Linked DNA regions of Nothobranchius furzeri. The protein of the gene in region 1 purifies or fractionates together with the protein of each later gene. This does not show direct contact. Links are inferred from orthologs where the notes say so. Each region holds a gene or a part of one and is shown on either strand. Other genes may lie near its edges.

What was found. Proteins that work in one complex are often made in the same cells at the same time.
Region 2: the proteins of ppp2r2ca (region 1) and ppp2cab purify together in Homo sapiens (affinity purification with mass spectrometry; 6 studies listed by BioGRID and IntAct, counting the BioPlex papers as one, with this or other methods). This does not show direct contact. The link is inferred for Nothobranchius furzeri from reciprocal best matches to the Homo sapiens genes PPP2R2C and PPP2CA.

Annotation. Positions count from the first base shown.
Region 1 is NC_091747.1:78,433,654-78,437,947, reverse strand, and holds the start of ppp2r2ca (protein phosphatase 2, regulatory subunit B, gamma a), read left to right. Parts: upstream 1-1,405; 5' UTR 1,406-1,694; intron 1,695-2,122; exon of another isoform or gene 2,123-2,209; 5' UTR 2,210-2,356; coding exon 2,357-2,420; intron 2,421-4,294. Other genes in the region: hpf1 (histone PARylation factor 1), read right to left, coding at 53-236, 846-995. UniProt on the Homo sapiens protein: The B regulatory subunit might modulate substrate selectivity and catalytic activity, and might also direct the localization of the catalytic enzyme to a particular subcellular compartment.
Region 2 is NC_091750.1:60,013,398-60,016,728, reverse strand, and holds the end of ppp2cab (serine/threonine-protein phosphatase 2A catalytic subunit alpha isoform), read left to right. Parts: intron 1-1,248; coding exon 1,249-1,458; intron 1,459-1,540; coding exon 1,541-1,714; intron 1,715-1,802; coding exon 1,803-1,892; intron 1,893-1,977; coding exon 1,978-2,139; intron 2,140-2,228; coding exon 2,229-2,347; intron 2,348-2,431; coding exon 2,432-2,504; 3' UTR 2,505-2,731; downstream 2,732-3,331. UniProt on the Homo sapiens protein: Catalytic subunit of protein phosphatase 2A (PP2A), a serine/threonine phosphatase involved in the regulation of a wide variety of enzymes, signal transduction pathways, and cellular events.

The DNA of each region.
Region 1 (4,294 bases):
AATCCCAGTTGCAGCTTTAGTCCCATCAGTGGTGAGAGCAGTCAGGACGTACCACAGGGGTTGTCGGGACAAAGCTCCTTGCAGAAATCCCAGAAGTGGAACAGATCTTCTGGCATTTGTAAACCGTACAGCCGGGTCAACTCATCCCGCTGCTCTGGATTCCTTTCTGACAGCAGCACAGGTGTGGACTCATCAGTCCGGACCCTCTTCACCTCTCCATTGGCTGAATCCGACCCCTAATGAATCAGAGGAAGAAAAGAAAAATTACAAGTTTTAGTTTGTGGACCCAGGTTACACCATTGTCACTCCTGTCTCAGCCTGTTGCTGCTCTCTGATTATTAATTATATTAAAGTTTAACACCCTCCTGTTTCCTATGGCCTCCATAGTCACGGTTTGTTTTATTACACAGGTGCACCAGTGGGCGTCCTGCGTCCCCAACACCTAAGGTGTTTTATGCAGGTTGAACATTATTATAGTAGCTGAACAGAGGTAGCCGTGAGACCATCTAAAGCTCAGCTTTTATGGATAAAACACACATGCACAAGTTATCCTGCAGGGCACGCGACAGGTGACCCATCTCAAACGCTCCAGATGCGAACGCACGTGTCAGAAATGCGAAGCGGACACGATTAGACTGGAAACACAGTTTAGCAGAGAAGCAGCTGCTGCCATGTTGTCTGGAAGCGCCGCCGCTCACTCAGCTCCAGCGGTTCAGCCCGATGGTCTCACACAGATGTACCCGGAAAACAGCGACACCAGACAGAAGTCTGCGTTTGCCCCGGAGAGCCCGACTTCTCACCTGACACGTTCAGCGCAGGAAGCTTATCGGAGGAGGAGAAATTACCTGAATAGCTTTGGGTTTTCTTTTTGCGCGCCCTGTCATTTTCTTCCTCTCGTCTCGTCTTCTTCTTCTGCAGATTGAAGACAGTGGTAGAGGGTTCACCGTGACGTCGTGCGTCAGTGCCCCCGTGAGGCGTGGCGGTGTAAACATCATCAATTTTACACCTAAAGACACACACACACACACACACACACACACACACACACACACACACACACACAAATATATATATATATATATATATATATATATATATATATATATATATATATATATATAAATATAAGAAAATAAAAATAAAAAACAATAACAGTTAGTTTTAATAATTAAAATCATCCAATGAAAGGGAAAATACACATTTCTATGAATTAAGTTTTAAGTTGACTCAGCTGTTTAATTTAGACAATAAAAAAATGAATGCAGTCTCATTTTAAAGCGTGGCTGGCCCCACCACGCTCCATTCTCATTAAATGTCTCCCTCTGCTGGTCGCCCCCCCACCCTTCACCACCTGCAGTGGGTGGAGCCACCAGTGACAGCTGTGCTGTGATAGGCTTCTCCTAGAGGAGGCTGCCATGACACACGGTGGATGCTGCACAGAACAACATCCTCAGCATCAGCAATCCAGCGCTCCTGCATCCTCCTCCTCACTGTCCCTCTCTCTCTCTTTTCCTCCTCCTTTTTGCCTCTCCTCCTCGTACCACCACCCTTGCTGTCTCTTTTCTCCTGCTCGTTCTCCCTTCCCTTCGGCGGACACACACTCACACACGTCGAGGCCCTGCTTGAGCACACTGCAGCAGAGGGACGTGTACGAACACCAGCAGCAGGATCAGCAGCAGCGGGTGGACTGGTAGGTGAGCTGTGGCCTGAACCCCCCCCCTCCCCTTCTTCCTGCAGCACAAGCAAGACAGCGCGTTCTCCTCTGATCTCTGTCAAGGACTATCTATCTGAGAAGTGTGTGTGTTTGTGTGTGAGGGAGACAGAGGGCTGGGAGGACTACCACACCCTGGGATCATTTACAACCTCCGGCACAGCAGAATGAATGTTTGATGTTTTTATATAATCTTTGCTCCATCCTTCTCTTCTCGCTGAATGCATGCAGTTCCCCTCGGATGGATCTGTTTTCTGTGTCTGCTTGTGATGTTTGGTTTCCTGTTTTAATTCCACAGTACATGAATTCATTCAAGCACATGTTAGCAAGAGCACTGAACATGCAACCATTTAGGAAGTTAACTAACTACATCTTTCATGTTTTCCTTTCCAAAACCCTCTTCAACATCAGGCCATCCACCCCTCTCCTCCACCTTCTCGATTCAATCCTGTTTATCTCTTTCCTCCCTCTTCCTTACACAACTTCTACTCCTCCCAGCTGGTCGCTTTTCCCAGGATGCCTTGCCTCAGGCCACTACGGTAGGCCCCAGCAGCATGGGCGGAGCCTGGGTGGGACGAGATATCAAAGATTGGACCCTTCCTCTTAGGACGGGTGTGGTGGCGGGTCACCTACCTTCAGCTTCAGATGGGCGAGGACGCTGAAAACCCCAAAATCAACCACACCTTCCTGCGAGACTACGTCACTGAAGGTGAGTTGGGTTCACCTCTAGGGTCGGATTAGAGTGACTGAAAAAGGAAACTTGGTTTTATTTTTTATTCTGACAAACTCTGATCTTATTTTGCATCTTTAAATTCTCAGGCTGAAGATAGAAATGTGGTTAGGAGCTTTAGAAATAAGATAATGTTTTTAGTGATTCTAAATTTTATTGATATTTTATCACAGGTTCACTGTTTTTTATGGATCTTATTTATGCTTTCTTTTGAATTGTATTTACTAAGACACCGTCCGGCCCCCCAAAAAGTCAACATCAAAAGAAAAGGTTCACACACTAATATTTCATTGGACCACCTTTAGCTTTGATTACAGCACACATTCGCTGTGGCATTGTTTCAAAAAACTTCTGCAACGTCACCAGATTTATTTCCTTCCAGTGCTGCATTCATGTTTCACCAAGATCTTGCATTGATGATGGTTGAGTCTGACCGCTGCACAAAGCCTTCTCCAGCACATCCTAAAGATTCTCATTGGGGTTAAGGTCTGGACTCTGTGGTGGCCGATCCATGTGTGAAAATGACGTCTCATGCTCCCTGAACGACTCTTTCACTATCTGAGCCTGATGACTCCTGGCATTGTCCTCTTGGAACATGCACGTGTCATCAGGGAAGATGGAATAACCTGGTCATTCAGTATATTCAGGTAGTCAGCTGACGTCATTCTTGGAGCACATCCTGCTGCTGAACCTAGACCTGACCAACTGCAGCAACCCCAGATCATAATACTGCCCCCACAGGCTTGTACAGTAGGCATGATGGGTACATCACTTCATCTGCCTCTCTTCTTACCCTGATGCACCATCATTCTGGAACAGGGTCCATCTGGACTCATCAGACCACATGACCTTCTTCCATTACTCCATAGTCCAATCTTTATGCTCACTAGCAAATTGAATCCTTTTCCCCAGGTTTACCTCACTGATTAGTGGTTTTCTTACAGCTATACAGCTGTTTATTCCCAGTCCCCTGAGTTCCCTTTGCATTGTGTGTGGAACAGGGGCAGACTGAAAAACATCCGAGGCTTTAGTCCTAGTAGCCAGCCCTAACCCCACCCCTTGTGTGGAAATGCTCTTAGTTTCACTGTTAAGCATAGCCCTGACTTCTACTGTTGATTTAACCAAACGGGAAAGCACCGCAGATCACGTTCATTCTAGATTTTTCCCCCCAGCTACATTTCTTCCTCGAAGACGATGGGTCTCCACTATTCTTTCAGTCTTTAAAAATGCGTTGGACAGTTCTTTAACCCAGTTTGGGTCATTTCTACAATCTCCTTAGATGCTTTCTCTGCTCGATGCATGCCAACAACCCTGACCCTTCTCAAACAGACTAACATCTTTTCCATGACCACCACATGTGCCTTTCCACATGGTTGTTTAAGAAATGAGAAGCAACTCATTTCACCAGCTGGGGTTAAATAACTTGTCATTAGCTGAAAGATAATCGCCCATGCAATTTTCCAATAGGGGGCTCTTACCTCAGGCAGCAGTAGCTCACAAGGCTCTCTCTAACCTTAACCCTACCCTAACCCTAGACGTGTCCACCATCACCTCTCTGAGTTGCCCAGTAATTGGAGGGTTGCAGGTTGGATCCCAGCTCCCACCAGAGAATGCTGCTGTTGTGTTATTGGGCAAGGCATTCAACACGCCTTGCCTGCTGGTGATGGTCAGAGGGACTGATGGCGCCAGTGTTTGGCAGGCCTCGCCTCTGTCAGCGTGCCCCAGCGCAGCTGTGGCTACACAGCTCATCATCACCAGGGTGTGAATGTGTGAATGACTGATTGTGTTGTGAAGCACCCTGGGGGCTTGTAGGACCCTAAGAAGGCGCTGCTTAGTTAAATCCAGATGTGTAT
Region 2 (3,331 bases), on another chromosome or scaffold:
CCTTATTTTTTGAGTACATGTATCGTTTCTGCTCTTTTTGAACATCACCTGATTTCTCCGTAAGCTGAAACGACCCGAGGGTTTCCAGCAGGTGTTGATGGACGAGTTTGGCTCAGAACCTGATACGTTGGACTTAATTAAAGCTCGTCTTCATGACTACGGCAGCGTCAAAGATCCCTTTCTAATGTTCCATTTCGTGCTGACGGCATCATGAGCCATGACACCGACGTGAACTCGTAGACGTAGATATGTCTACGGTTTGACTAGGATGAGGAACCCAGACAGATCCACTTTATCTCCTGTCGCCTCATCCATTCAAAGATGGGTCCTGTGTGTTTGTGTTCCACTTTCATCCAGACACCTAGAATATTCTTCTCTGGCTTAGTGCCTCTGTTTGCTTTAGAGATTTGTGGCTCAGTGTGGCCCCCGAAGCCTCCTGCCGCACGCCGGTCGGGACACGTGGAGTTTGGATGCAATGTAGGTCAACGTTGTGCAACGCTGCAGCGCCATCCTGGCCCGTCTGGGTTTCTATCCCATCAGCTGGCCACCAGCCAAGGAACACACTCGTTCTCTGGTTTGTGAAGGGATCCACGGTCACACAGCTCACAAAAATACTCAGCAAACGGCCAAATTCCGGGTGATTTACCATGAAGGTAAAACAATCGGAAACATAAAAGCAGTCACAGCTGGAGGTTACCAATCAAGCCAACTGGTGGTAAATCCTGTCTTATTTTAATGGTGACTTCCTCTGGCTCTGGCTGTAGGCCACATGCTGAGTCATGCTCTGCAGCAGCCAGTCAGGCCCCTCTGATGATTTATGGGTAAAAATAAAATGCTTTAATAATCCAGAATCACATTTATTTTTCTGAATTTAACACGTTAATCTAATTTGTCTGATCCGATGTGAATTAACATCAAAGTGAACCAAAACTTTTATGCAAATCCACTAAAATTTATTCTGCACTTGCCTTTTAATCTTCGGAGGATCACATTTATGGATTTTTAGAAACGTTGCCGTGCAGCCAGAGCTGCCCGTCCGGGCACCACAGGGTCGCCCCACAGGAAGCTAGTCGCTGCATCAAAATGCTATCAGCCCCGCTCCGTGTGCAGCATCCTGATGAGACGTGATGGAGGCCGTTGTAAGCGCTAGCAGGAAGTGGGCTGTGCCTGAATGAAGACAAAAAGAAAATGGTGGCCTTTGCCTGGCTTGTGCAAGTTTTAATTCTCTAATCAACTTTCCTTCTGCAGGCAAAGGAGATCCTGACCAAAGAGTCCAACGTCCAGGAGGTGAGATGTCCAGTGACCGTGTGTGGCGACGTGCACGGCCAGTTCCACGACCTCATGGAGCTGTTCAAGATCGGTGGGAAATCGCCGGACACAAACTACCTGTTCATGGGGGACTATGTGGACCGAGGGTACTACTCTGTAGAAACCGTCACATTACTTGTAGCTCTTAAGGTGACTTTGTCAGACATTTAAAACAGTTTTTTTTTCCTCTTTGGGGTGAAAAACGCGACGTAAACAGATGTTTGTGTTTCAGGTTCGCTTCCGGGAGCGCATCACGATCCTCAGAGGGAACCACGAGAGCAGACAGATCACACAAGTCTACGGCTTCTACGACGAGTGCTTAAGGAAATACGGAAACGCAAACGTTTGGAAATACTTCACAGACTTGTTCGATTACCTCCCCCTCACTGCGCTGGTAGACTCTCAGGTGAGAGGAGCGTAATAAAAAAGACCGAACTTGACGTTTCTTTGAAAAGCATCATAATTTGTTATAATTATCGATTTTTTTTCCTCAGATTTTCTGCCTCCACGGGGGCTTATCACCGTCTATAGACACGCTGGATCACATCAGAGCTCTGGATCGTTTACAGGAAGTGCCGCACGAGGTAAAGAAAGACGTTAAATGTGGTGCAGATCAGCAACGAAACAATAAAGATAAAAACGTTTGTGACCATTCTCGTTGTCACGCAGGGTCCCATGTGCGACCTGCTGTGGTCAGACCCCGACGACCGCGGCGGCTGGGGCATCTCTCCCCGAGGAGCTGGCTACACATTTGGTCAGGACATCTCTGAAACGTTCAACCACGCCAACCGCCTCACGCTGGTGTCCCGCGCCCATCAGCTGGTCATGGAGGTTTGTCTTTGTGTCCAAAGATGATTAAAAACAAAGAAGCAGTGCCGCTAAGTTCAGATGCGTGTTAATATTACATCTGCTTACCTCAGGGCTACAACTGGTGCCATGAGAGGAACGTGGTGACCATTTTTAGTGCTCCTAACTACTGCTATCGCTGTGGAAACCAGGCAGCCATCATGGAGCTAGACGACACCCTCAAATACTCTTTGTAAGCAGGCGAATTTCATCACGAGTGGACAAAGAAATCTTAGAATAAGTTGTGATTTTTTTTCTTCCTGATGTTCCTCCTCAGCTTGCAGTTTGATCCAGCGCCTCGCAGAGGAGAGCCCCATGTAACTCGCCGCACCCCAGACTACTTCTTGTAAACCTGCAGTCTCGACCCGCGCACGGTCCGGTCCGGTCCTGTCCAGAACCACCAACCTATCTGACTTTGAACTGAAAACAACGTGATGGAGGCCTGAGAGGCTGCAGTGTTGCACGTTGTGTTTATCCAATCTAGTTAAAGCATTTCGCAAAAGCAAATGTGTCTATAAACGGACCAAAAGGTGTGTGCCATGATCACTTAAATATTTATTGTATCTGAAATGACAAAATAGAACATCCTGGATGTCTCGGCTCCTCCTCCTGTACATATGGAGCTGGGTTGACGGCACCAAAGTCCAAGACTAATTTGCTACTGCAGACCATGGTTTTTGAGATTTGAATGTGATTTGTTTGCACTTTTGTACAGTTAAAGAAATGTTAAATATGTCAAAAAGATTAATACGATTTCACGATATTGATAGTTTTTTTGTTGTTTATTTTTAAATTGCATGTAAACCTTCAGTTTTTTTTGACCTGTGTATGTTTTAGGAAAATCCCTTCTCATGCAGTCAGATGGCTTGGTTTATAGAAAAGATGGAGTGTTCATCAACTCACCTGCTTCCTTTTAGCTTCAGACTCTATAATAACCTACTAGAATAATAAAGATGACTTCTTGAATTGTGTTTTTGGTTATTCTTCATTCTTGTAAAAAGTCTAGTTATATTTGGATTTCTCTGGCCAGTTGTAATTACACTGACACAGCAAGGCGAAGACATAAAAAATACATTTATTTAAATGTGAATTTAAATTATTGTGCTCCATAATATTAGATTGTATTGAGAACAGAAGTATCAATTGCCCAAAACAAGCAAACTTAATGTTGAGAATT